Coturnix japonica: one gene and its partners. The protein of the gene in region 4 purifies or fractionates together with the protein of the main gene of each other region. This does not show direct contact. Links are inferred from orthologs where the notes say so. Each region holds a gene or a part of one and is shown on either strand. Other genes may lie near its edges.

Region 1 (3,871 bases), on a different chromosome or scaffold from region 4:
GTTTGTGAAGTGTACTTGTGCTTAAAAACCTCATTCCTGTCTCTCATCTGCTTATAATTTTCTGGTTTATTGTTGTGGAGCTTTCTGTGTGGGGGAGAATTCCAGCGCAGATAAGAGTGTCCAGAAAGCTGGGGCCGAAGGTAACAAGGGAATGGCTGAGAGCTTCATCCAGTGTTAGGGGTGAAATACTAGCAGTACACAGCACATGTGAATTATTCATGGCAGCAGATTTGAAGCAGCAAAGCACAGTGGAATGGCCGCAGTGTTTTCATCTTCCCAGCTTGGTCCTGCAGGAAGCCTTGAGGTGTCAGCCCCTAAAAAAGGGATTGCTGGACCATCCTGTGTCAAAAAAGAATAGCTGATTTTTGCTGGTGTAAATATAGAAAGTGAACATCACTGGTAGCATGTGCTTAGCAGATAGAATATTTCCATCTCCAGCTCATGCAGTAGTCAGAACAAAAATATGTGGAAGGGTTTTTTTTGTCGAAGGATTGCTTCGTAAAAGCTGGTTAATTCTAAATGCAGTCATGCTCAGAATCTTGAAATGTCAGGCTAATGTGAAGAATTGTCTTATTTTCTAATCCTGTGATCCTATTAAGTGGTCTGTTTTGGAGAGATTTATCTCCAGCAGTCATGGTAAATGAGAGCTTTGGGGCAGTTAAGCTTTAATTACAGCGATTTCTTTTCATGTGTAAGCCATACCTACCATTTCAGGCATCCAGAGTTTACATTTGTGCAGTTCTCTTGGAGGAGCCCTAATAATCTTCAGGGCTGTTTGTTCTCTGTGGTCTCTGTTAGAGGAGAGGCTGCACGTGAGCCATTTTTGGTGCTCAGATGCTTTGTTAGCACACGGGCTTACACAGAACTACTTGCATCCTTAGGATGTTGTTATTGGGAATGTTTCTGTTTCAAGGTGATAACGATTTGAGCTTTCATAAAGCTGTCACTTTATGTCGCTGTATGTTGCAAAGTGTGCTGTGTTACGGGCTCTTCAGACTAACTTCATTTCTAAATTCATTCCTGTCTGTAGGTTCAGTGGTCTCCCCACAATGAAACTATATTGGCCTCCAGTGGCACTGACCGCCGGCTGAACGTCTGGGACCTGAGGTAAATCCCAGATCAGTTGGGTTGTACCAGTGAAATAATGTTGATGAGTTGCATCACAAGCAGCAACAACCAAACCCACAATTATTATTACTGTTTTTTTAAAGTAAAATTGGAGAGGAGCAGTCCCCCGAGGATGCTGAGGATGGTCCCCCAGAGCTGTTGGTAAGAACTCTGAGCCTCATTAATTGTTTGGTCCAATTTACTCATCTCTGCAATGTGGATTTGAAAGTATTACTGCCCCTCCACCCTTCTTTTATTTCCTTCGCTCCTAGTTTATTCATGGCGGTCACACTGCAAAGATATCTGACTTCTCCTGGAATCCCAATGAGCCCTGGGTTATCTGTTCTGTATCAGAAGACAATATCATGCAAGTCTGGCAAATGGTAAGTTGGGAACTGCAGGAAGTGGTAGATAAGACACAGCATTGAACTGCCTGAACGTCAGCATTCCAGGTTTTATTTACAGGTCCCAGAAGGATTTGCTTTGTAGCACTGCCTAAATCTCGATTGGGCAGTGAAATGTGTTTTAGATTGGGTAGAAATTGGCTTACAAATCCTGAGGAGCTGTTTTGTGTTTCTCCAAGTAGTGGTGTGTGGAGTAGAAGGGACATTTTCCCATCTATGTTTGAATGAAAACTAGGTTAAATAAAAAAAGAAGACAAAACACCAGCCAACCAAACAGAAATCAGCTCATAAACAAGCAGCAAAACTCCATCCAGCCACCACCAGCCACAGCAACTGCAAACGTGAAGTTGAGGTTTCTCTTAGTTGCTGTCATACTGGGTGAGTTCTCTGTGTGTGACACAGATGTCCCCTGTGGCTGCATTGGGGCAGTGTGGTGGTGAATAGAAGAGTGCTGGTTTAATTTCCAGCTGCTGAAAGTTCTGGAGAACGATCCCTAACAGCTCAAATAACCTTTGAAAAGACCATGCTTCTAATTTTGGTTTATTTATGGTTTGGTTCACGGAGGCTTTGTCTTGGCAGCATATCTGTATAGTGCTTAGGACAAGTGATGCTGCGAAGTGAAGGATCTATTAAATGTATGCACAGTAGTCTCAATTAAAACAAGCCCTGCTGTGGTCGCTGCTTTAAGAAGTCGCATGCCCGTAAGCTGCAGTATCAGAGTACTTCTGGGTGTCCATCACTACTTCAAAGCAAGGCAGCCCGTGTTGAAAAGCCCCGGGGGTTTGGTGACAAACATCTGCAGATGAAAATCTACCATGACGTTTTGAAACGCTGTGGTGTCCTGTTAAACGTGATGGGAGGTGCTTCTACAGCTCCTGTGCTTTGACTTGCAGGCAGAGAACATATACAATGATGAAGACCCAGAAGGAAGCGTGGATCCCGAAGGCCAAGGATCTTAGATGACGATCCTTCCTGTTTCTAGTCCTTTTCCTTCTCTTCCCTCTCAGCCCTGATACTGACTTAACACTGGTTTTGAGACACACGTAGACTTTGTGTTCAGCCATCTTTCTGTAGAACCATCAGCGGTGCTTTTTACCCCAGGCAGTGCCCCCCGAACAAAGGGCTTCTAGTCCAGCTCAGCCAGTGCTGTGCTGCAGCTCCTCAGTCACATTTCCCACAGCAACCTCCTGTGTGCAGAGCCAGCCCAGTCCATTTTAGCTGCCTTCCTCATGCAGAGCAAACTGTTTTGTTGCTGTTTTTCTGTCTTTAGCTTGTTATGGCTGCGGGCTCCTGCCTAATTTAAACAGAAGTTAAATCAGAACTGCCAGAGAATTCTTGATGCAGTGGAGATGGTGCAGGGTTAATCCAGCTGTGGATCAGAAATGAGGGGGGAGGGTCTCGTCCTCTTCAGTACAGCTCAGAAGCTTCGGGCTTCCCTCAGTTAATATCTGCCTGTGCAGCTGTCTGCCTCCGCAGATACATAAAGCGACCTGCAGGTTCTGAGTTGTATTTTTTCCTATACTTCCTTTTGTCTTTACTGCTAACCCTGGGTTTTTCAGTTCTTCCCTTCCATCCCCTGCGTGGCAGTGCTTTGGGTACAGCAGCTATTCCTGCACTCACTCCCGTTCATGCATCTTGTTCTATTGTGTGTTTCTTGAGCTGTGTTTTCACACCTTTCTTTCTGTGAAATGGTTTTAAAAACTCTGGGGCCACAGCGTAGTGAAGGTGTCAGCATTTCCCAGCCACGCGCCACGGCTGGCACAGCCCAGTCACCTGCAGCACTGCACCAGCTGCCCATTCCTCATGTTCCTCATCACTAACTGTGTAAGTGCTTCAGATGGAATAAATTTTTTCTACGTATGTGATTTTGTGCCGGTGTTTTCCTTCTGCATTAGATGTTTCCATGAGGGTGAGCCATCGCCTTTGAGGAAGCAGAGAGGGGGAGGAGAAAGAGGAGTCTGTGCTGTGAGGGGTTGGGTGCTGCTGCATGCTTTGCTGTTGGATGCAGTGGGCTTGGTGCCTTCCTCCATCCTGGGTCTCCTCCATCCTGGGTCTGCCTCCAGCCCTCACAGAACAGCAGTGGCTGTTTGTTTGTTCTCTGTATTTTATTAAGCGTGAACGTTTGGGTGCCTCCCCAGCCCCCATTTGACACACAAGCTTATTTTTCTTTGACACACGGCTTTGAGAAATAAAAAGATCCTTCAACTGACCTTTATTTTCAGTGTGAGACTATAAAGTGGGAAACCTTTTATCCACAGGCTTCAGTTTCTGTGGCCGTGGGAGCGAATGGCAATACAGCAGGCACTGCAGGAAACACTTCTGGAGGCAAACAGCAGCATTCAGCCCCATCACGGTCCTTC
Region 2 (3,500 bases), on a different chromosome or scaffold from region 4:
TGCAAGACTTACAAGCTGCTGGCTTTGATGAGGTGAAGTATTTAATGTTCAGGCTTTAGTGTTCTAAAAACTGTCAGAGTGTGTTGGATGAGGTGTTGGTCATGGAATGTTTAAACAGCATATGATGGGCAAAATAGCTTTGAAATCTGGCAGAGTTCTAATTAGAACTTAATGAAGCTGGGATGAAGAAGGGGAACAGATTTAAAGAGGCATTTTTCATTTTTTTGCACCATTTTCAGTGTGTTCTTACATGGTAGGGGTTGTTTTAATTCTGTAAATCGTTTTAGAGAGAGGTGGACACTTCAGAACATGGATTTTGCCTTTGATACTCAACAGGATTTTAAATTGTGCACAACTAAAATACGCTGATAGTATGGCCATCCTAAAGTGATAGGCAATAGCACGTATTTCAGGAACAAATTTTAATGGCCTTCTCACATCTGTTATTAGAAAGCCAGTGAGGGAAAAATGTTCTGTGATGCTTTGGTATTCACAGGGAGGTTAGGTTAAGGGGAGCGAATATCTCCAAAGCTACGGACAACATTTCTCTGTAGTTAATCAGCACTTGAAAGGGATACTGGAAGAATTTCATGCAAAAAGTTGTCTGTTGACATAAATAGCCTCTGCATCAGTACCGTACACTAGGCACGCTCCCAAAACATCTAAAGTATTCACAGACAAAGTCTGATTTGGAATGAGGTTGGTGATTTCCATTCGGTCTTTGGTTGGATCGTTGCTTAGCCAGGCACTTACTACAGACTGGTTAATGGTGCTGTGGGAAAGATAGGCAGTACTTCTTCCTCCTAAAAGAAAATAGGGAAGACAGGCAGATCAGTTTATAAAGAAGGGGAACATTTCTCCACTGTTTACAATTAGAAGTTACAAACAATCAAGCAGTCCTTATGAGTGTGAAATGTAACTATTAAGTCAGTATCGTATCATCAACTAAAATCCCACACAACACGAAGGGATCTGGTTTCATTCAGGAACAGTTCTCCAGCCGTGACTTTGAAGTTTACAAGAAGGTAAATTCATAATTCTACTATCATGGCCTCAAGTTGCGCCAGGGCAAGTTTAGGTTGGATATTAGGAAGAACTTCTTTACAGAAAGGGTGGTTAGGTACTGGAATAGGCTCCCCAGAGAGGTGGTTGAATCGCCATCCCTGGATGTGTTTAAGAGCCGTTTGGATGTGGTACTCGGGGATATGATTTAGTGGAAGGTTTTTAGAGTTAGGGTACTGGTTAGGCTGCGGTTGGACTTGATGATCTTTTCCAACCTGGGTAATTCTGTCAATTGGCATTTCCTCAGTAATGTCCCAGAATCAGGTGCTGCTTGTGGAAAAAAATGCACTTTCCTCCGGCTTGCCCAAATGCAAAGATTAAGCTGGATTTGCAGTAAGAATGGAAGGGTTTTATAATGACAAATGATTTTATAATGATTTGTTCCTTATCTGTGGTTTGCTGCTGGAGTGGTTTTGGTTTTTACAATAGATTAGCTCTCGTATCCATTTTTACAGAATGGGTCTCCAGTCAGTTTCACAAGCTGTGGGATGGTTTGTGGCTGGATAGTAAACTAGAAAACCATCTCAAGTTGGTATTTCTGTTGGAGCCTTTGTGTCTTGAAGCCTTTTGCTCTCCAACCTTTTGTTCTTGGATGCAATCAAGTTGAAATGTTGCAGGTGTAAGTGTCTCATGAAGAAGCTGTGAGATCAAATGTTGTAACTTCTTGATCTAGCAATGTACACCTGATCTGTAAGCATCAGGGCTATCTTGTTTTATATATATATATGTGTGTGTGTGTGTGTATGTATACTTTTCTGTTTTGTTCATTTTGTTATCATTTCTGAAGGCTGCGTATTTTGTACATTTGCAGTGCCAAAAACATACAGATGTAATGGAAGTATAAATGTGGGTTTGAATTTGAAATTGATACTGACCTCCTCCCTTCTGAGCCCTCCTCCCTTCCGAGCCCTTTTGGATTTCCCATTGATTTCACTGGCAGATGAATCATAGAATGGCTTGGCCTGGGAGGGGACCATAAAGATCATCCAGTTCCAGCCCTCCTGCCATATACTGCTGTAATTTGGTGACTTGTTCGAAAATAATGTGAACTGAAATGATGGCTTTGGTATGACAAAGTATGGCCATAACAGATCACTGGAAGGCAGAGCGGTTAATTAAAGGGAGTCACTCTGTATATTTTTTTCACATTCTAAGTCAACTGCAAAATACCATTCAATAAAAATGGGAGAGGAGTGCCTGACTGTTTCGATCGCCTGTTTCTTGACCTCAGTCTCATTCAAGTCCAGAGAAACACCGCGGATCTATGATGCATTTTCCATTGACAAACCTGGGATTGCTCATCTGATCAAAGCTTTTCTTTGGATCTCTTGAGGACGCAGCAAATCCCCACCACAAAAGTAACAGGATTTCTGATGATACTGTGATATTTACTAGTGAAAAATACTTGAGGAGAAGCTAAAGGATATTTGTTGATATTCCAGGTTGAAGAAAAATGAGCAAATGCCAAAATACTGAAACACATCTGAATATCTTTTATAGAATAAATTAAGTTAGGTGGGAGCTCTAGCTGTTATCTGAGTAATGCATATAGCAAATAAATACCTAGACAGACAAACTATAAGAATAGCATGGTGACACAGTTAATATCAGAATATAGTTGTTTTTTCAGAAGATGCAGGCTGTTAATTTCTTTGGAGGATCTGTTGTGGAGAAAACATTGTCATCTTATATTTAAGATGATCGAGAGAAGTCATTATGTACTTTTGTAAAATTACTGGAGGATATTTGGCTAAATTCTTGTGATTTTTATTATTCTTGCCATTTTGAGTAACTTTTTGTATTTAATTTTCCCTGTAGGATATGGTTATACAAGCCCTCAGACAAACTAACAACCGTAGTATAGAAGCAGCCATCGAATTTATTAGTAAAATGAGCTACCAGGATCCTCGTCGGGAGCAGATGGTTGCAGCTGCAGCAAGACCTGTAAATGCAGGTATGAAACCACCAGGTAGGTGCATCTGTGGCACTTCAACTCATTAACTGTGTTCTTACTGGTGAAAAATACAAAATAGCAAATTAGAACCTAGCACTCTCTGTCGTGTGCTCAGAGTAGAAGAGAGGAGGTGCTGAGATACAGGATTTTGCTTTGAAGATTATTTGTGAAGTGTATAATAGAATTCTTCTGAAACATGAGTGTCTTTGGTGTGAATTTAAGACTTGTTTTTAAAATATCTGATTGCTTTTAGCATTTTGTCTAAGTATTAGAAGCATGGAATCACCAAGGTTGGAAAAGATCTCCAAGATCATCCAGTCCACCCATCACCAATATTTCCTTCTAACCTGTGTCCCTCAGTACAATGCCTAAACAATATCCTTGTATATCCTTTTGCAAGGCCAGGTTGGACGGGGCCCTGGGCAATCTGGGCAATCTGATCTAGTAAATGTGTGTGTTTGGTGGCCCTGCCAGGCAGGGGGGT
Region 3 (2,959 bases), on a different chromosome or scaffold from region 4:
CTGGTCCGAGAGCGGGAGGCTGCTGTGAGCAGAGCAGGAAATAGGAGGTTTGTGTGGAGCAGGGATGGAGTCAGAGGGTGCTGCTGCAGGATGTCTATTCTGGTCCTGTTGTGAAATCAGCAAGGAAAAAGGAAATGTGTGGCTGTGGCTTGTTTGTCAGTGGGTGGCAGTTGCCCTTCTTGAGGGCTGCAGGCTGCAGGTGTTACAGGGCAAGTTGGGGTGGCTGGAGCAGGCTCACTGCAGCCCAGAACAGGGCTGGTTTGCTGCAGGTGCCACAGCGTGAGTCTGGCTGCATTTCCAGAGCTTTAATTGATGCTGCTGTGAGGCCTCATTTCAGACTCCAGTTCTGGAAACCTACTTGTGTTTGTAGCAGGGCCTGGGTCACAAAGGGGGTTTGCCCCCTTAGGGTGGGTGTCTGTGGGTGATGGCACTGCAGATGGAGGCTGGGGCTCCTGGCTGGGTCAGGGCGCTGGGTGCAGAAGGCAGAGCCTGCCTGGCCGGTGTCCTCACTGCTGTCTTGTCTGCTGCAGCGGGGCAGAAGATCGCCATGGCTACATCTGGGACCGACACTATAACATCTGCCTGGCCAAGCTGCAGCACGACAACGTTGTCAACTCGGTGGCCTTCAGCCCAGTGGAGCAGGAGCTGCTGCTGACAGCCAGCGATGACACCACCATCAAGGTGTGGCGCTCCCCTCGCACCGTGCGAATCCAGCAGGCCAGGAAGCCCAGGCCCAGGAAACTGCTCTTCTCCTGGCTCATGAACCAGAAAAGCTGAACCCAGGTATAACTGCTCCTGCAGCTTCCTCACTGCGGCCACCTCTGGAGCTTGCGGTGCTTTGAGCCCTGCACAGCGGAGACGAGCTCTGAGCACACCAATCCTGTCAGCTGAGTTTGGAGGGACCTCGGCAGTGGTAATGGCTTCCTCCTTGGAGTGTCTGCTTCAAAGACAGAATGTAAGGGCTGAGGACCAGTTCCTGGGTCCGGTGGTCACTGCAGGGTAACCTCCCCACAGCTTATCACAAACGCTGCTACTTGGTCACAGCTCTCTGGGTGAGCTTTGGTCTCTGAGAACAGACTGAGGCGCGTCTCCAGGGTTTGTACTGTGTGGGCCTGGAACGTGGCTGACTTCACTGAGAGCTACTGGCTACAGAGCACCTGCACAAGCAGTGGTACAGTGCTGTGCTGCCTTACTGCGGGTCTCTTTTAATATAGTAGTTTTATTATTGTTTTGTTTGTCCCAAATCTCCATGGGCAACTTGTCTGGATGCTGGGTGCGCCCAGTGCCGCCCCACACAGTGTTTGGGCCACAAAGGGATGGCAGGAAGGATCAGAGGCTGAAAAGGCAGCGGGGGAGGCAGTGCTGGGGCAGAGCTGGAGGGGCAGGGCTGCCCTGCCATTGCCTTCTCTTACAACTAAATCCTGATACCATCAGTTTACAAATCTGAGAATGGGGAGAGCTGCTGGTAACGCCGATCTGGCTTTGCCCTTGTCTTCCCCTGTTCTGTAGCACCTGAATAAGCTATGGCATCGGTAACATATTTATTCCAGGGGCTCTGCTGTCCCTTCCAGGGGGTAAACTGTGATGATGGGTCTCATGGTCACCTCCCTCCCTACTTGAGTTGTGGCACTTTAGGTTTTCTTGGTATGTTCTCTGTGAGCAGGTGAACAGGCAGAGGTGCAGCCATAAGTGTGAATAAACCTCCTTCCACCAGGGCTGACTCACCTGGGGGCTGGTGATCAGCTCCCTCTGAGGGCTCCTCTGATGGGGGAAGCTGGCTCACTTTATGAACTCAGTGTTGTTTACTCTGTATTTGTCCCTGAAGCTTTTCTCTTTCCAGCCTTCAGCCAACTGTTAGAGTCTAAAATTAAGCTCCTAATCTCCACTTGGCCCAGACAGGGGGAGCTGAAGCTCCCAGGCCAGCAGTGACCCCAGGGGCTGCACCTGCTGCTACGCTCTGGGCCCCCCAGCTCAGGAGCAGCAGGGCAGGTGTCTGTGCCACTCACAGCCTCAGGTTGCAAACAGGCTTCATGGAGACAGCGGCTGCTGTCTTAATATGCACTGATGGCTTTAACAGCTCCTCCAGCCCTCAGCAAGAGGGTTTCACACCCTTCTCTTGCTCTCTCTTGCACCCAGCAGGTGCCCATGGCTTTATCCAGAACCCCTGTACTCAGGTTTTCGGTCATCACAGGACTTCTAGAAACAAGGGAGTCCTTTGTGTGTGTGTGTGTGTGTGTATATGGGTGTGCACTCAAGATCCTAGACCCAGCTCTTGGTCCCCTCACACAGCAACAGAACAGTCTCCACCTTCCTACATCTTCCCTCCTGCCCCAAGATAGCAAGTCCTGTTTGCCTCCCTTGGCGCGGTGCAGTAGTGAGCAAGGCACTGAGGGTTTATGTTTGTACCAAGTTTTGCTCTTCACCATGGCATTGAATAAATACTCTGCTAAAGCATCTTGGCAATGTAAGTTTGTTTTTCTTAGTACTATTTTTTCTACAGAAGCAAAACTGAAGCCAGAAGTTCAATATTGCTCTACGTGCTGCAGCCCTTGCAGAAGAAGCTGCAGGACGGGATCTGGGCAGTGCTGCCTTGGTGTCCTTCCTTGCCCTGCCTGCAGGAAAGCAGCTGAGCTGGGGGGCAGCTCACCCCACAGGGGCACAGCCCCAGCCCTGGGCATGGGGCAGAGTGTGAGGACTGCAGTGTGGCAGCAGGAGACCAAGCACAGCCCTGCTGCTGTCCTGGCCCGGCACTGCCTCTTCAGCCCCATGCAGTGATGGAGCCTGTGAGTTACACAGCACAGCAGCTCCTCACGCTGCTTTTATTAGAGTTTTTCACCACACACCATCCTCAAGGAAAAGCTCCCTCACAGTGACAGGCTGAGGTGGGTGTTCCCTCGTAGCTGTGGTCAGATGGGGGAAATCAAGGAACAAAGGGGGGAAAAAAAACCCACTTTGCTGT
Region 4 (4,164 bases):
TCGCTGTGAGGAAGGCCGGGCCGGGGCTGCCCCCGTTGTCTCCGTGCTCCTGCTCGCACCTCCCCCACCGCCCCCAACCCAAACACTGACTAACCTCCCCGCCATGGCGCGGCGCACAGCGGCACTTCCGGCACTCGCCGTGTACTTCCCGTAGTCACCGGAGCCGTTTGGGGGCGTGGTCTATTTCGAGGCAGCCAATGGAAAAGAGCGGTGGGCGGGGCCAGAGCGCGCGTTAGGTATAAAAGCACGTGCATCGGTGTGTGTGGTACGTCAGTGGGCGGAGCGGCGGGAGGAGGGAGCAGAGGGACTAGCGTGCTGGTCGTACCGGGGTCCGGTGTCAGCTTGTGCTTACCACAGAATGACCCGGGTTGGAAGGGACCTCAAGGATCATGTAGTTCCAACCCCCCTGCCTGGCAGGGCCACCAAACATACACATTTACTAGATCAGGTTGCCCAGGGCCCCGTCCAACCTGGTCTTGAACACCTCCAAGGACGGGGCATCCACAACCTCCCTGGGCAGCCTGTTCCAGGGCCTAACCACTCTCCTAGTGAAGAACTTCCCCCTAACATCCAACCTAAATCTTCCCTCTTTCAACTTAAAACCATTTCCCCGTGTCCCGCTATTGTCAGCCCTTTCGAAGAGTTTACTCCCCTCCTGGGAGTAAGTTCCCTTCAGGTATTGAAAGGCTGTAATGAGGTCACCCCGCAACCTTCTCTTCTCCAGGCTGAACAAACCCAACTCCCTCAGCCTGTCCTCATAGGGGAGGTGCTCCAGCCCCTGATCATTTTTGTGGCCCTCCTCTGGACCCTTTCCAAAATCTCCATGTCTTTTTTGTACTGAGGGCTCCACACCTGGACACAGTACTCCAGATGGGGCCTCACAAGAGCCGAGTAGAGAGGGACGATCACCTCCCTATCCCTGCTGACCACCCCTCTCTTGATGGAGCCCAGGATCCCATTTGCTTTCCGGGCTGCCAGAGCGCACTGCTGGCTCATGTTGAGTTTTTCATCCATCAGGACCCCCAGGTCTTTCTCTGCCGAGCAAGACCTTATGGGAGCGGACCGTTGTGCTCCGGGGGCCGCAGTGCCTGCCTTGTGAAGAAGGGACGGCAGCTCCTTGGCAATCTGTTCCAAAAAGCTGAATAAAGTTCCCCACGGGTTGTCTGTAAGAGGCTCGCACCGAGAGTCCGCCGTAGCCGTCCGTCCCGGGAGCCATCTTGCGAGCGGGGACGCTCGGTGTGAAGCTGGCGGGAAGGGCTGGGCTGCCGCCCCGAGGTGGGGGAGGAAGGGAGGGAGGGAAGAAGGGCGGGCGGAGGAGGAGGAGGAGGAGGAGGAGGAGGAGGAGAGCGGAGGCGGGGACCGGGCGGTCCAGCCCAGCGCAGCGCCTTGCCCCGGCCGGACACGGCGCCCGGGGCGGAGATGGCGGACGAAGCCCAGAAGAAGCCGCACTTGTCGGCCCTGGTGGGGCACACCAACGGGCTCACCAAGCCCGCCTCGCTGGCCGCAGCCGCCACGCGTGGGGGAGGCGGCGGGGGCGGTTCGGCCGGTGCTGCCGCCGCCTCCTCCAAGAAACTCGTCATCAAGAACTTCAGAGGTGGGTGCGGGGCCGAGCGGCGGCAGGTGCCGGGCCCGGCCTCTCCGCACCTTTGTTTACCGCGGGGGCCGCTCCGCCTTACAGGGACGCGGAGAACCTGCCGCCGCTCCCTAACCGCATCCCGGGGTCTCGCGTGGGGCCGCGGGGTTGGGGTGGCCCCGCATTAGGATGGAGGAGGAGGAGGCCACGGGCCTGGACGCGCTCGGGCGCTGCCGTCTCGCGTGGGGTCGCGACCTGCCCCGTGGCCGTGCCCCGTGAGCGCCCCTGGGCTGAGCGGAGGAAGATGGCTGCGGGGAGCCCGAGCCTCGGGCCGCCTTCAGCCGCCTCCGTGTTCCCCCGCAGAAAGGCCCAAGCTGCCCGATAACTACACGCAGGACACCTGGCACAAACTTCACGAGGCGGTGGCAGCCATTCAGAGCAGCACTTCTATTAAGTACAACCTCGAGGAGCTCTACCAGGTAAGACCCGTACGGTGATGTTTTCTTTCGGTGTAATGTGGAAAATGGAGACTCGCAGGGCTTCAGATCAAGCAGAGATGTATTTTTGACTCGTTAAAGGCCAGTTATTATCTCCAGAACGCTCTGTGTTTCCAGACAGTTCACAGTGTTGTGCCTCAGCTTCTCGCTGCTCCTAGGAGAGTTCTCAAGGTCTGGGCCCATGAAGAAGCAATTTGTGTTGGAAGGTATTGAGAGCTGCACTTGGGCATCCAGCCACCCCAACACTCTGCCTGCTCCAGATCCTGAAATTAGGGTCTTGCTCTGTCTGGGCTTTGCAGTGTCTGTGTTTTACAATGGCTTTTTTGGTTCATGCTTTGGTGTTTGAGAGTAGCCAGCGTTAAAAGTATTTGTTACGATGCTGAGACTTCAGTGTCAGTGCTCTTTGGAGAATGAAGGCAAGAATCGCACTGCTCGTGTTGTTATAAAACATCACTGATGCTGTAAGTTGTGCCACGCGGCTGAAGTTAACAAGCAGGGTGAGTCTCAGAGCTGAAGTGACTTCTCTGTGTCATTAGATGGAGTGTAATGTGTGGCATCAGAACGGCTCGTTGTGTGAAGGCATATTGACCTAATATAACATACTGCCTTCAAGCTGGACTGATATATATGTGTCTGGTAATACTTATAGGTTTGCAGAATCTGATTTACATAATACATTTGATGGTTTTAAATAGAGCGTTTGAGAAATCCTGCATTTTCATGCCCAGCTAGAAAAACACAGATGCTTTGAATGTTACCTAACTTGTTTTCAGAGGCTCAGAAAAGAGATTATAGTAATATGGGTATGAAATTGCCGGGGCACGGACTTGAGCTTTGGCAGTAGAGGAGGAGGGAGATCTCAGATAAGCTGTAAAGAGAGAACTGTGCTTTTTGCTTATTCTGTTTGTAAAAATGTGCGTGTTGTAAGGACAGCCCAGCAGTCAGGAAGTCATTGGTGCAAATCAGCAAGATTCCTGTACGGTGGGTGGTGGCTGTGAACATGCCCATACATACATACATACATATTCCTTCTGCCAAAGGAATAAGAGGAAGTTCAGCATCTTTTGGAAAGCTGACCTGTATGTACAGGTCGCTGTAACTCTCGGTTGGTGAGCACAGAGCCATCCATGGGGAAAATATCAGTGTGTGTACTGCTTCTCTATGGCAGTGCTCCTTTATGTGCATCTCTATCTGGCACCATGACAGGAGAAGAGAGGCTGCTGGGGCTCAGTGCAGCAGGCAGTGGTACCCCAGCCTGCCTTGGAACTTCTTGATTGATGTATTTAATTTGGCACGGTGGCAGAGTTAAAAACAAGGCCTGGTGGGAAGCCCAAAGCATAGTCTTTCCCAAGCGGCAGTGGCCGCATGGGTTAAAGCACAAAGGTGCTTGGCAGAGGCAGTGAGCAATAGGAGGGTGGCAGCCAATTTTTGCTACTAAAATAGAAGTGATGTCTGGGATTGGTGGTAGATTGCCTGGATCTGGGTGGAAGTGGCTGATATTTGATGGGCTACAGAAAGTGGGGCAGTGCAAAGAACTGCCGAGTGAGGAGCGAGTGATAAAAATAATGGGAAAAGAGAATTCCCTTTGCAACAAGATCCTAAATAGCTTGAAATAGGGCAGCAGCTGCCCTTCTTGAGGGCACGGAATAGAACATTGTTGCAGTAAAGGGGGAAGAAAGTAAATGCTTTGAATCTGGACCAGACTTTTGTGTGGGTGGGTAGGAAAGGCTGTGTCTTAGAAAGCATAACCAAATATCTGACCAACAGTTGTGTGATCACTGTTTGTTTCAGAGGTCACCTCACGTAACCTGTTCTAAGACTGAAGTTAAAAACCAGCATAAACAACAAAGTAATCATGTAATGCCTGCTTGTTTCCATCTTGTGTGTTTTGGAAGATAAGCTCTTCAGGATATTAGAACTGATAGAGGAAACAGTACAAGCAGCAATAACTAGCTTACTAAACAGAGGACTCGGCTCAAAACAAGCCATTAAAGTGGTTATTTGAAACTTATACATGGCTTGTGTAGGTGAAGAGCCTACAGTGCTGTCTTTCTCATGTCATAATAGAAGAGATAATTATTATTACAGCTTTTT
Region 5 (4,090 bases), about 54 Mb from region 4:
TGATGGAACCTTGAGGGGTAGGGGAAAACAGCAATGCATTCAACTGGAAGCTTAGAGTGTGAAATGTCATGATTAAAAGGTGGGAAGCACTGCCCAGAAAGGAAGTGAAGAAGACAGAAAAGAGTACATGCAGGAGAATTAGTTGGCAAGACAGATCTCAGAGATGAGCTCAGAAGCATCACACTTAGTAGATGGAGGGGTAGCAAGAGTCCCAAGTCTCTTCCTCTCACCCTCCCACCTGTGAAGGGAGATCCAACTAGTTTGATTTAGACCAAATCTTCGCACTGCCCCGGAGCCTGCGGAGAGAGGAAGAAGTTTTAGACTGGACACTAAACTTCATCTCTGACTTCCTTTTCTAAGCGTACACAGAGAACAGCTGGCATTCAGGGAAGGCTTATGAACTGTGCTTCAGATCAAGAGCTGCACCCCCTGAATTAGCCAGAGGTGGAGGTCAGCTTGGACCATTCCAGGCCTGGGGTGTAGACCCCTGCAGTGACCTCAGTGCTACAAAACAGAACTCCCCTCAACACACATTAGGCAGTGGCTACGTTTGTTTGCCACCATTCCTCACCCTTTGGCTTTGGAAGTCTTCTTGCTGGTCTGGCGCTGGTTGGTGCCAGGGGCAGGTTCCCTGAGCTCTGTGAGGTGCTGTTCTGGGTCTTGAGAGGTGGCTGCTGCAGCAGCTGCTGTTGTCACTTTAATTGTCTTCTTCAGATTCGCCACCTGCAACAGCAGTAAAACAAGAACCAAGGAATTTCTCAAGTTATTATCTTTTTTTCCTCCTCCCTTTTATTTTGTCCAGAGCTTTGCACTGCTGAGAAGTGCTTAAGTGACTCCCAATTCTTCCTCAAGCATAACTACCCCGGAGGGTTTCAGCCTAGGGTAATGCCTTAGCCCTATATAGTATATATACTATACTATAGCCCTCGAACAAGGGCTATAGTAACAACAGGGTATTGGTTCCACTCTTTCTTTAAGCAAGGGGTAATGCCTCCTCCTCTCCCTCTTCAGCCCACTCACCTCACTCTCTATCTGCTGCTTAAGTGCCAGCTGTTGTTCTTTGTGTTGGTTGGCTCGGCTAACCTGTTCTTCAATGCCAGACAAGACAACCTCGCAGCCCTGGCACCTGTAGAGAAAATGTTAAGCTGAACAGGACAGGTAATTGGTACTGCAGGGAAAGAAACATGAAGATGACTGGTTGAACTGTAAAGACCAATAAAACCTGGAAGGTAACAGCTACTCTAGGCAGGGTAGGCACAGGGGTGGCAGTCCAAAGCAATAATGTAGTGACATTATTACCTAGGAGGGAGACACATAACAAAGCGGCACTAGGTTAAGAGCTACAGATGTATACTCAGAAAGACTCTTGCCAGCAGCTGGAGCTGGATGCAAAAACTGCTGCTCCTTTCCTCACCCCTCCAATGTGGAAGAACGTTGGATAGTGGAAACTATTTTCCACTGCCATTTGGGAAAGGAGACAGAGGTCACTTTGCTACGCTGCCCCCCAGCAACACACAAAGGATGATCTGGTGAAGCCCCTGACCACTCCTGCAACCTTTGAAGGTGTTAGTATGGGCGGCTTCCTCCTCACCACTCCTGCAATGTGCGGGTGATGGTGCTTAGCTCCTCCCTCCGGATGTCCCTCCCAATGCTGTAATCCACCTCCAGGCGTTGGTTCCGCTGATCCAAGCTCCCTCGCAGCACATCTGCATACACCGCCTCGATCACGAGGTCCTCTAGCTGCCGGACGTTCTTCAGCTGTAACTGCTCCAGCAGCACCGAATAGGGGATGCACTGCAGAGACATGATGGTAACTAACACAAGGTAAACTCAGAAGAAGGAAAACTAGAGGTAAAATAGGGGCATTACCTTGATCTTTGCAGCCAGAGTGACGACCGACAGGTGCCTCAGTTTGTTCTTCTGAGCCTCTGTCAGGGGAGGGAGGTTTGCTGCTTCAGCTGTTGCCAAAGGGAAGGACGGGGCATTAGAATTTATACCTCATGTTCTATTTCCCAGTCCCGCAACGGAAGCATTTGCCCCAGTCCCATTTCTCAGAACTGCATCACAACGGCTCCCAAAGTGATGCTTTGTCTTAGCAGGCCGTCACCATTAATCCACAGCTCAAAGGACCTTCACTGAGCAGCCTCTCCTCCGTTTGAAGCCACCTCCCCAAGCTGTCCCACACCTTATTTATGGAGACCTCTACATCCCAATGAATCCCCCAGTCCTCCCCCCACCCCTCGCAAACACCATTGCCCAGATGTTTTTGGACCCCTCCATGGCCTCCTCGGCCTCACGCCCAAACCCAACCTCGCTCCCAGCTCTGCGGCTTAGGGCACGATTCCCCAAGCCCGACCTCACCCAGGTAGTCGGCGTAGGTGCCGTAGGCGAAGATGGTGAGCAGGTGGAAGACAGGAGAGAACTCGGAGTCGGCCAGCTGCGGGACAGAAGGCGAGTCAGGCCACACCGCGGCCCAGGCCCAGCCGCGGGCAGGGCAGGGCAGGGCACACGGCACAGGGCAGGGCACAGGGCAGGGCTCACCTCGCGTACGGCCGGCATATCCAGCAGCTCCCCGAAGACGTAGATACCCGGGGCCTCCAGCACCTGATGGATGAGGCTGGCGAGCGCGGCGCCGCGGGCGGCCTTGGCCAGCAGCAGGAACTGCTCCTGGCTCTGCCCCGTCACCTTCCCCTCGGCCGCCATCCCGCTGCCGGGCACTCGGCCCCGCCGCGCTGGCGTCCCGCAGGCCCCGGCCCCGCCACCGGGCGCCACCTCCAGCCCGCCCCGAGCCCTCTCCTCTATGGCGGCGCCGTCGCAGCCCGCCCGCTTCCGGGTGTGACGCCGGGCGGGCAGAGTTTGGGGCGCCCCCTGTCGGAGGAGGACTGCGCGGTGCAGCGGGCAGCTCACGGTCCTGGCCCGGGGTTGCCGTCCCGTCCCGGCCCCGCTGGGCTCCTCGGAGCTCGGGGCCGGGCTGGAGCTCGGTCTGTACGCTGAGGCTGCCGGCGTGAGGGGAGCGGCGCTGGGAGGGCCGAGGTGGAAGGCTGAGTTATAATGGTGGCGGCCCCGCCGCTCGGCTGGAGGTCACTCGCCGCTCACAGTATCGCTGTGGCTGGGGCTGTGGGGAAGGGCTGTGATAGATAGCGAGGCCTGCGGTGCTCCTTACGGCGGAATGAAGGAGGAGAAGGGCTGACAAGGTGAAGCAGGGCAGCATCAGTGCAAGGTACAACCACCACCTTCCTGCCTTCACCTCCCTGTCCGTGTGCTTCACCACGCCCTGACACCTGACGCACCCACCTACAGCGGGGCAGGTTGTGTTCTGACCAGGTCTAAGTGTAGCCCTGCTGCTCTGTAGCATGTCTTGCTCTCTCCCCCACCCCCTCACCAGCTCCTTCCATCTCAGTTTTATCTCCCTATCGATCTGTTTCTCTCACACTCTCTGACACGCTTGCTGCCTTTCATTATTAGTTCGATAAAGCGAAGCAGCCCGAGCATCCCAGCTGCAGCAGCCTCCCTCTGCACCGACCCCGGGTCTTGTGTGCTCTTTGCTGGGTCACCACAGTGTTTCTTCTCTTTTGTCCTGCACGGAGCTAAAATAAGGGCAAGGAATGAATCACTACCCGAGCTCCCTTAATGAGAAGGCCATCATCATCTCTGAATATGCAACCACTCGTGTGAGCGCACGGTGTCTTGCCCATAACTTAGCAAAGTCTTTGTTCATCCTTAGATGCAAAATCAAACTGGCTTGTCAAAACGCTGCCAATATTTTGATCTCTAGCCCTTCCCCAAACATAGTCCAGATCTGTGATGATTTTTCACAACTCTATGCCACAGAGTCCTGGGCAAAAAGCTTGTAAGGACGAGGGAGGATGGGGCAAATCTCTTTGCCAGACAACGTGATGGGGAAAGTTTTTAACCACGTAACTTGTACTAGGTTAACACACAGGGTGGTAAGACCTGTGCCTAGTTACATCTAGGGCAGCCTCACACCTATTGCTCACAAAGGAGTTTAAGAGGACGGTGCCTGCGCAGTAACTCTTATTCCCATGTACTCTCACAGCCCTCGGGAATTTGCAGATCAGGACAGACAGCC
Region 6 (3,500 bases), on a different chromosome or scaffold from region 4:
TTAATTATAGGTAAAATACAGTTTTAATGTATTACAAACTAATTAAAGCTGTTCTATCAGCTATCAGAACTACTCTGCTTACTTACCATAGAATCTGGACTTGAGAATATATTTGTTTTACAAGATTATGCTACAGAATATTTTTGGAAGAATCAAACTGGAATTGTAATCAATTGCGTATCAAAGGCAATAAACATCTTACAGGATTCTTTCATTTTAATGTAATATCTGAATCCAGAAAGTACCTATGTTCTGTTTCAGTGAATAATCCTGTAATTATACAACTTGTTTTTTCCTCTCCCTTTGGCTTAAGAACTTGCTAGGAAACTCAAGTATTTGACAAAAAGTATTACAGTAGTAGTAGTAACAATTTCTTCTGTCCATATAGGAAATGCATTTAGCTGTGGATTAGGAGGCAGGATGCTCACTAAAACCCGGGTTGTTTTTTTTCTGTTTTGGTGTTGAGCAGGTGTATGATATAGCATTTAGCCGTGCAGGTGGTGGGAGAGATATGTTCGCTTCGGTTGGTGCAGATGGCTCAGTGAGGATGTTTGATCTCCGTCATCTGGAACATAGCACCATAATTTATGAAGACCCACAACACCATCCATTGCTGCGTCTCTGCTGGAATAAGCAGGATCCCAACTATCTTGCCACAATGGCCATGGATGGCATGGAGGTAAGGCGGTAGTTCTGCAGAAGGAACAAGGCAATTTGAGGGAGGTGGTTTGGTCATTTACACTTAGTTCTTAAAGTGAAGGTGCAGTAAGTGGAGCATGAGAAAGGCCAATTCTTGTTGCAGTAATTTCAGTAGGAGCTAGAGGTAAGTTTGGCATTATAAATGTGAAGGTCTCTGTGCCCCCCTCTATATTTCAGTCAATTTATGAGGGTTCCATGAGCCAGTTGGGCAGCAGCTCTCACATAAAACAGTAAGTGTGAGTATTTTAGTCACCTTGTTCTTTCTCAGCTCTTTGCACCAGGCAGTGTACCGTAGATTTTTACCTGAACTGCTTCAGGGAAGCATGAGTCACTTTTTTTTTCATAACTCACAAGCGTCCTATGTGAGGTCTGACTACTTCTGAAATGCACACAACATGCTGACCAGCTAGAAACTGTTCTTTCAGAACAATGTGTGCTTGCCAAATGCATCCTTTTGGAAGGTATTTAAAGCCTTAGTTCAAAACTCTTTGCTCTCTGGATGGGATGAGAGATGGAAATACAAGTTATTAACTTAGCTTGATTTTTGTTTCTGAAGGTTGTGATTCTCGATGTCAGAGTTCCCTGCACTCCTGTTGCCAGGTTAAACAACCACAGAGCATGTGTAAATGGAATTGCTTGGGCACCTCATTCTTCCTGCCACATTTGTACAGCAGGTAAGCATGGAAAGAGATTCTTGGTCACGCTCTTACCGTCTCTGCTGGTGAGCCTGGTGCTCTAGCTGTGCATCTCCTTTGGCTAAGCTGTTTTATTTCAGTGCTGCTGAACTTATTTTGCAATTTAGTTCTGAAGTGTTTGCACTTTGAGTTCCACCAATTGTGTTTTTAACTTTGTCCTGGATGACATAATTATCCAAAGATGTGTACGAGTTCTACTTGGAGAGCAGTTCTATCATTGTATCTGTCTCACTTTCTTATCTGAACTGCAAGGTCTATATTCAAACTAGCTTTTTACTACACCCCTCTTAGTAGCCATGTATGGACATCTTGTTGTGCTTTGATCCCACTTAGGATTTCGTTTTCTTTTGCAGCGGATGACCATCAGGCTCTCATCTGGGACATCCAGCAAATGCCTCGTGCCATTGAGGACCCTATCTTGGCCTATACAGCAGAGGGAGAAATCAACAATGTACAGTGGGCATCAACTCAGCCAGACTGGATAGCTATCTGCTACAACAACTGCCTGGAAATTTTGAGAGTGTAACACTACTGCTTCATGCCTAATTGAGGCAGGGCTGTATAATTTCCCCACCCCTCTAAAGTAAGAACAACACAAGTCAAGTGGCCAGTATCTGTTGTTGCTTTGCATCTACTGTTCCAAGAAACTGTTACAAGAATCAATGGCAGGTGTCTCCTGTCTCTCCAAGACTCTAAAATGCAGAGACACGCTGAGCCTCTTGGACCTTTTGGGTTCTGGTTTTCTTTGTTTTTGTTTCCCTCAGTTAAAGTTCTGTATATTTGTTTGTTGACTGTGTTAATAAGCTTGCAGGCTTTAAGTTGCTGCGTATGTCCAAGTGTTTGTCAGCTAGCCAGGGCGGCACATCTACCTAGTTTAATAGATGCAAGTGCAAAACAAGGTGGGGAAAAAGATGGTAATGTTAACAGCCACCTTGGCAGGAATCTTTATCATTCCTGTTGTTGCTGCCTCTAAACTGTTTAAACATTTGTATGTTTTTTATATATTGGGCTAACTTTCTATTGAGTAAGGCTTTTCTCCCGAATTCTTACTTTTGATATGTGATCCACTTCCATATACCTAAAGCAGGATATCTTTGTTGATACAAATCACAAAACAACACTGCAGGCTCCCTGGCAGTAAAGGCCTGCCAGAACTAACTGTTGCCTTGGCTCTCAATACCTGGTTACTTGGTGCTGTGAAGTACAAGTACTTGTTGCACAATTTCTTTACACTTCTCTGATGCTAGAGGCAGCTGCTACTATGGCAGGCCTTATTTTTAAATAAGAACTGCATTTACTGTGTGTCTCCTGCAGTTGTGGTAGCTAACAGAACGGTAATGGGTTTCAGACGGAAGGTATTTGCATGACTTGAGCTCCCTCTGAGGGAAATGACTTAAGAAAAAAAATGCTATTTGTAATAATGGACTCTGGATTGACGTTTCCAATGAAATGATTTCCCCTTAGAGGGCTTACGATCTGAACCAAAATAAAATGGTTTCACACTTTGTAGCTTGCTTGATTAGCAGATAACACGAGCAAGATCTTGTGGTTAACCAGTGCCATGGAGCTTCTTTGCATTTGTTCTGTGTTCCTGGGAGTTCTTGAAAGGAGGACCCTTTTTTTCCTAAACATGTTTGCTTTGTACTGTCGGGTCTTGTTGAATGAATGAGATGAGGTGGAAGAACTCATCCACCATCCAAATGAAAGCTGTTTCTCTGAAAGAAATAATTCCCTAATGTAATGCTCAGAAGACAGATTTCAAGTGAAAGAAACAGTGCCGCAGAGGCTATAGTTCGGTGCTTGTCATCCTTGTGGTTATTTGAGATGCATCCAAGGGCATCTGTTTCTGTTTTGAATAGTGGAATGCTTTACAGTAATACACTGCAATCAAAGCTGAGTGGATTAGACAAGATAAAAATCTGTACTGAAGTCTTAATATAGCACAGGTATTGAGATAAAAGCTCCACAGTGCTCTTCTTCCAATGAAGACATGACAGCTGTAGCTGGTCCATGGGGGTATAGCAGCTGAGTTTTGATGGAAATGTCAGAAACGATCAGCGCTGTCTTTCTACCTGATGTATATTCACCTGCAACTGCAGGCAGCAT
Region 7 (4,039 bases), on a different chromosome or scaffold from region 4:
TCCAATCAGGAATTCCCAGATTTTAAAGAAAAATATGAGGGAACAAGGCAATTGAATAAAAGATTTCAGTAACTAATCTCCTTATACTGACCTTCACTGTCCCATCATCACTGCCCGTACAGACAAGCTGAGGTCCTCGCCTTGCTGGGTAGCAGGAATTCACGAACGAGGTATGGCCCTTCAGCCTCTTTACTCTCTCTCCAGTCTCACTGTCCCACACAGCCACAGTCTTGTCTGTGGATGCTGAGAAGAGCATGCTGTGGAGAAGAATCACTGTGAGATTCTCAATGTCAGAAGCTTTTCTCCCACCCTATTTTCTTACTCTCCAGACTTGATGTCAAAGCTTGAAATATTGTCAGCGCGCCACTGAATCAGACATTCATTCTGGTTGAAAAGATCATGTCCTGTAACTTGTCACCTGAAAACTGACATCCTTCTTGCTACAGCCACCTTTCTTGATACAGCTGCTGAGGGAAACTAAATTGTTTTGACTGGAGGAAAGGTGGCTGGCAGGATATCTCACTGCTCTCTACAACTGCCCAGATCCTTTCCCACACGTCACCCTTCCAGCCACTCTCCCTGAGCCTATACCACTGCATGGGGTTGTTGTGATCCAAGTGCAGTACCCAGCACTTAGCTTTGTTGAACGTCACATAACTGGACTCAGACCATCAACTCAGCCTACCCAGATCTATCTGCAACACTCCGGCCCAACTTGGTGTCACCTGCTGGTTTCATGGTGGTGCAGATCTGATGAAGATCTGATAAAGATATTAAATGAAATTGGCCCCAGTACTATTAAGAACTATGCCCAACATGCAAAGACAACTGTGATCTTTCACAGCAGGCTGATTGGCAGCAGAACAAATACAGAGGAGGTGCTTTCACCAAACCCCATTTCTATATAAAATTACAGATAGGATTTCTGACTCTTCAGACACAGTCTGTGATGGGAAGAGAGAAAGAAAAGTCTAGCAACCTCCTGGTACAGATGCATGCGTGTTTTCTTTCCCTTGTTAAGCAACTACAGTTCCTACATCATCAACATGAGCACTCAGATTTCTGAAGACTGAAGCCAAAGGTATTTATATGTCACAAGTGGCTCCAGAGCCAATGCTCAGCTCCTAATCTGGAACAGTAGAAGTGTTTGTTGCAAGGGCTGCTGGCTGGGCTGGGGCAATGAAGAGGTGCTGTGCAGGGCTCTGGCCAGCAGAAAACATCTTCCCTTAGAAACAGTGGGGAATGGGCAGGAATTTACCAGCGTACCCCTTACCTGCCATCCGTGTTATAGTGCAGCTCCATGACCGCCCCGCTGTGTCCCTTCAGGGTGGCGTAGTTATCACAGTCCCCATAGACATTCCATAGCACTAGAGAAACAGCACAGAGGAAAGTGGACAATATAATACATCTAATTCAGGCTGAGAGATCCACAGCCCGGAGAAGGCTGTAGGGGGGTGTGATAGCTGCCTTTCAGTATCTAAAGGGAAGCTATGAGGGGAGGTGTGATAGCAGCCTAAAGGGAAGCTATGAGAAAGAAGGGACAGATGTTCCAGCAGGATCTGCTGTGACTGCACAAAGGAAAGTGGTTTCAAACCAAAAGATGGGAGGTTTTAATGGGATATAAGACAATGATTTTTAAATTAGGGGTGGTGAAGCCTGGCCTGCTACTCACGGATCAGCCTGTCAAAGCCAGCAGACGCCAAGGTGTTTCCTCCAGGGTGGAACTTGCAGCAATACACCTCTCCCTCGTGCCCCGACAGCAACATGATGGGCGCCTGCAGCGAGGAGCAGCGCGGGGGACCCTGCGGGAGAACAAGGGGAGGTGAGGGGGATCCGGAGCAGGGGCACAAGGAGAATCACAGAATGACCCGGGTTGGAAGGGACCTCAAGGATCATGTAGTTCCAACCCCCCTGCCTAGCAGGGCCACCAAACATACACCTTTACTAGATCAGGTTGCCCAGGAGACCCCATAGATCCCCATAGAGACCCCATAGACCCCCCATAGATCAGGTTGCCCATGGCCCCGTCCAACCTGGCCTTGAACACCTCCAAGGACGGGGCATCCACAACCTCCCTGTGCAGCCTGTTCCAGGGCCTAACCACTCTCCTAGTGAAGAACTTCCCCCTAACATCCAACCTAAATCTTCCCTCTTTTAACTTAAAACCATTTCCCCGTGTCCTGCTATTATCAGCCCTTTCCAAGAGTTTACTCCCCTCCTGGGTGTAAGTTCCCTTCAGGTATTGAAAGGCTGCAATGAGGTCACCCCGCAACCTTCTCTTCTCCAGGCTGAACAAACCCAACTCCCTCAGCCTGTCCTCATAGTGGAGGTGCTCCAGCCCCCTGATCATTTTCCTGTTCCTCCTCTGGACCCTTTCCAAAATCTCCATGTCTTTCTTGTACTGAGGGCTCCACACCTGGACACGGTACAACAGATGGGGCCTCACAAGAGCCGAGTAGAGAGGGACAAAAGAGAAGGTCCCCTCCGTTCCCGTCCCCCCTCACAGGCCTCACCGACTGCACCAAAGCACCGGCCGGGGGCTGCCCGCCGCCTCCGCCCCCTCCTCCAGCCGCAGGTGGGTCATGGCGAGGCCGCTTGGCCGCCGAGGGCACGAGCGGGAGATCGGGACCCGGAGCGGGGCCGGGTGCAGCGCCGGGAGCGGGGCCGGGGCCGGGAGCTGGAGCTGGACCCGGTGCGGGGCCTGGCACGGGGCCGCCCGGCGCCTTTCGCTTCTGCTGCTCGATCATCGCCACGGGCCGCGCGCGCCCGCCTGCCCCCCCATTGGCCAACAGCGCGGCCTTCTGCAGAGCTGATTGGACGAGCGCTTCCAGATGTCCCACCCTCCTCTCTTCTTCCTTCCGTCGCATAGAGATGACGTATAAACCGCGCTTGATCGCGGCGCGCTCCTCACACGGATTGGCCGGGCTGAGGCCGGAGAGGTCAAGGGGTGGGCACTAGATAACATGAGTCACTTCGATTGGCTGCGCTTGTCTCCCGCCAGTATCGCGCGCGTTGATTGGCGGGCTGAAGACTCCCCTCAGGTGAGGGCGGTGCGGAGGAGGCCTAATGGCGGCTGTGAGCGTAGAGTGAAGCGAGTTAGAGATGTTTTGTAGCGGGTCCGTCTGATCTCCATATGGTTTTCTTCCTTTAAGGCATCTTTAGGTCTCATGCTGTAGTTGGAGGCGGCTGGCAGATGTCGTAGGCCCCGCAGCGCGTCACCCCCCGGCGCTGAGGCGATGGAGCCGCTGCCTGAGCTGTACGCCATCTTCCAGGGCGAGGTGTGTGCACTGTGTGTATATCACATATATATGTATATATATGTATGTATATATGGCACCGTGTGTATATCGGCCTCTATAGGATGCCTGTCTGCAGAGCACAGCAGCAGCTGGCCCCATATGATATAGTTATATTGGCTCCAACCTGCTGAGGTGCCCGGAGTTGTAGCAAATCACACGAATAATCTGGATGTTGTGTGTGTTCTATAGTGAGAATAAATGTTTAAAGGCTTTCGATTAAATGCTGTGTTGGTTTTCTTCACAGGTGGCTGCTGTGACGGAATATGGGGCGTTTATTAAAATCCCGGGCTGCAGGAAGCAAGGTTTGTTGCTGTGGTTTCATTTGGACTTGGTTACATGTTGGTGTTGAACAGTGAAGCAGGAAACTTAAAGGTAGTTTAGAGAAACAAGTAAAGGAAACTTAAAGGTAACAAGTAAAAGAAACAAGGGGCCTAGGAGAGCAGGGAGGTTGCAGATAAGGAGTGAGACCTCACAGACGACCAGAAGAGGAGTTGCATTCCCCCTGATAAGAACAAGAGGGGGTCTGTATGCTAAAGAGCTATTGAATATGGATCAGAATTCCTAGAACTACTGACTATGTATTAGAAGTTTAAGAAATCATTGAATATGTATCAGAATTCTGAGAAATCATTGACTATGTATTAAATGTACCTATATCTGTGTCACGATTTTACAAGTCGGTGTGCAAGTTTGGTGGAGCTATCCCCCTTGCACCCGGTGCTGCGCAATGCTGGAATAAA

The links.
Region 1: the proteins of CUL4A (region 4) and RBBP4 purify together in Homo sapiens (affinity purification with western blotting; 3 studies listed by BioGRID, with this or other methods). This does not show direct contact. The link is inferred for Coturnix japonica from reciprocal best matches to the Homo sapiens genes CUL4A and RBBP4.
Region 2: the proteins of CUL4A (region 4) and LATS1 purify together in Homo sapiens (affinity purification with western blotting; 3 studies listed by BioGRID). This does not show direct contact. The link is inferred for Coturnix japonica from reciprocal best matches to the Homo sapiens genes CUL4A and LATS1.
Region 3: the proteins of CUL4A (region 4) and FBXW5 purify together in Homo sapiens (affinity purification with western blotting; 5 studies listed by BioGRID, with this or other methods). This does not show direct contact. The link is inferred for Coturnix japonica from reciprocal best matches to the Homo sapiens genes CUL4A and FBXW5.
Region 5: the proteins of CUL4A (region 4) and COPS7A purify together in Homo sapiens (affinity purification with mass spectrometry; 8 studies listed by BioGRID and IntAct, with this or other methods). This does not show direct contact. The link is inferred for Coturnix japonica from reciprocal best matches to the Homo sapiens genes CUL4A and COPS7A.
Region 6: the proteins of CUL4A (region 4) and DCAF7 purify together in Homo sapiens (affinity purification with western blotting; 4 studies listed by BioGRID and IntAct, with this or other methods). This does not show direct contact. The link is inferred for Coturnix japonica from reciprocal best matches to the Homo sapiens genes CUL4A and DCAF7.
Region 7: the proteins of CUL4A (region 4) and SNRNP40 purify together in Homo sapiens (affinity purification with western blotting; 3 studies listed by BioGRID, with this or other methods). This does not show direct contact. The link is inferred for Coturnix japonica from reciprocal best matches to the Homo sapiens genes CUL4A and SNRNP40.

Annotation. Positions count from the first base shown.
Region 1 is NC_029538.1:4,591,595-4,595,465, forward strand, and holds the end of RBBP4 (histone-binding protein RBBP4), read left to right. Parts: intron 1-1,030; coding exon 1,031-1,107; intron 1,108-1,211; coding exon 1,212-1,269; intron 1,270-1,379; coding exon 1,380-1,490; intron 1,491-2,404; coding exon 2,405-2,470; 3' UTR 2,471-3,371; downstream 3,372-3,871. UniProt on the Homo sapiens protein: Core histone-binding subunit that may target chromatin assembly factors, chromatin remodeling factors and histone deacetylases to their histone substrates in a manner that is regulated by nucleosomal DNA.
Region 2 is NC_029518.1:43,382,646-43,386,145, reverse strand, and holds part of LATS1 (serine/threonine-protein kinase LATS1), read left to right. Parts: coding exon 1-32; intron 33-2,880; coding exon 2,881-3,031; intron 3,032-3,500. UniProt on the Homo sapiens protein: Negative regulator of YAP1 in the Hippo signaling pathway that plays a pivotal role in organ size control and tumor suppression by restricting proliferation and promoting apoptosis.
Region 3 is NC_029532.1:185,961-188,919, forward strand, and holds the end of FBXW5 (F-box/WD repeat-containing protein 5), read left to right. Parts: intron 1-530; coding exon 531-777; 3' UTR 778-2,459; downstream 2,460-2,959. UniProt on the Homo sapiens protein: Substrate recognition component of both SCF (SKP1-CUL1-F-box protein) and DCX (DDB1-CUL4-X-box) E3 ubiquitin-protein ligase complexes.
Region 4 is NC_029516.1:123,900,109-123,904,272, reverse strand, and holds the start of CUL4A (cullin-4A), read left to right. Parts: upstream 1-1,364; 5' UTR 1,365-1,419; coding exon 1,420-1,594; intron 1,595-1,936; coding exon 1,937-2,052; intron 2,053-4,164. UniProt on the Homo sapiens protein: Core component of multiple cullin-RING-based E3 ubiquitin-protein ligase complexes which mediate the ubiquitination of target proteins. As a scaffold protein may contribute to catalysis through positioning of the substrate and the ubiquitin-conjugating enzyme.
Region 5 is NC_029516.1:69,466,888-69,470,977, reverse strand, and holds the start of COPS7A (COP9 signalosome complex subunit 7a), read right to left. Parts: upstream 2,801-4,090; 5' UTR 2,704-2,800; coding exon 2,542-2,703; intron 2,438-2,541; coding exon 2,362-2,437; intron 1,959-2,361; coding exon 1,870-1,958; intron 1,795-1,869; coding exon 1,592-1,794; intron 1,127-1,591; coding exon 1,021-1,126; intron 724-1,020; coding exon 572-723; intron 297-571; coding exon 257-296; 3' UTR 239-256; exon of another isoform or gene 1-238.
Region 6 is NC_029542.1:2,165,924-2,169,423, forward strand, and holds part of DCAF7 (DDB1- and CUL4-associated factor 7), read left to right. Parts: intron 1-469; coding exon 470-679; intron 680-1,255; coding exon 1,256-1,373; intron 1,374-1,747; coding exon 1,748-1,920; 3' UTR 1,921-3,500. UniProt on the Homo sapiens protein: Involved in craniofacial development. Acts upstream of the EDN1 pathway and is required for formation of the upper jaw equivalent, the palatoquadrate. The activity required for EDN1 pathway function differs between the first and second arches.
Region 7 is NC_029538.1:606,576-610,614, forward strand, and holds the start of SNRNP40 (U5 small nuclear ribonucleoprotein 40 kDa protein), read right to left. Parts: upstream 2,801-4,039; 5' UTR 2,748-2,800; coding exon 2,514-2,747; intron 1,803-2,513; coding exon 1,673-1,802; intron 1,368-1,672; coding exon 1,274-1,367; intron 258-1,273; coding exon 92-257; intron 1-91. Other genes in the region: ZCCHC17 (nucleolar protein of 40 kDa), read left to right, coding at 3,237-3,278, 3,544-3,601. UniProt on the Homo sapiens protein: Required for pre-mRNA splicing as component of the activated spliceosome. Component of the U5 small nuclear ribonucleoprotein (snRNP) complex and the U4/U6-U5 tri-snRNP complex, building blocks of the spliceosome.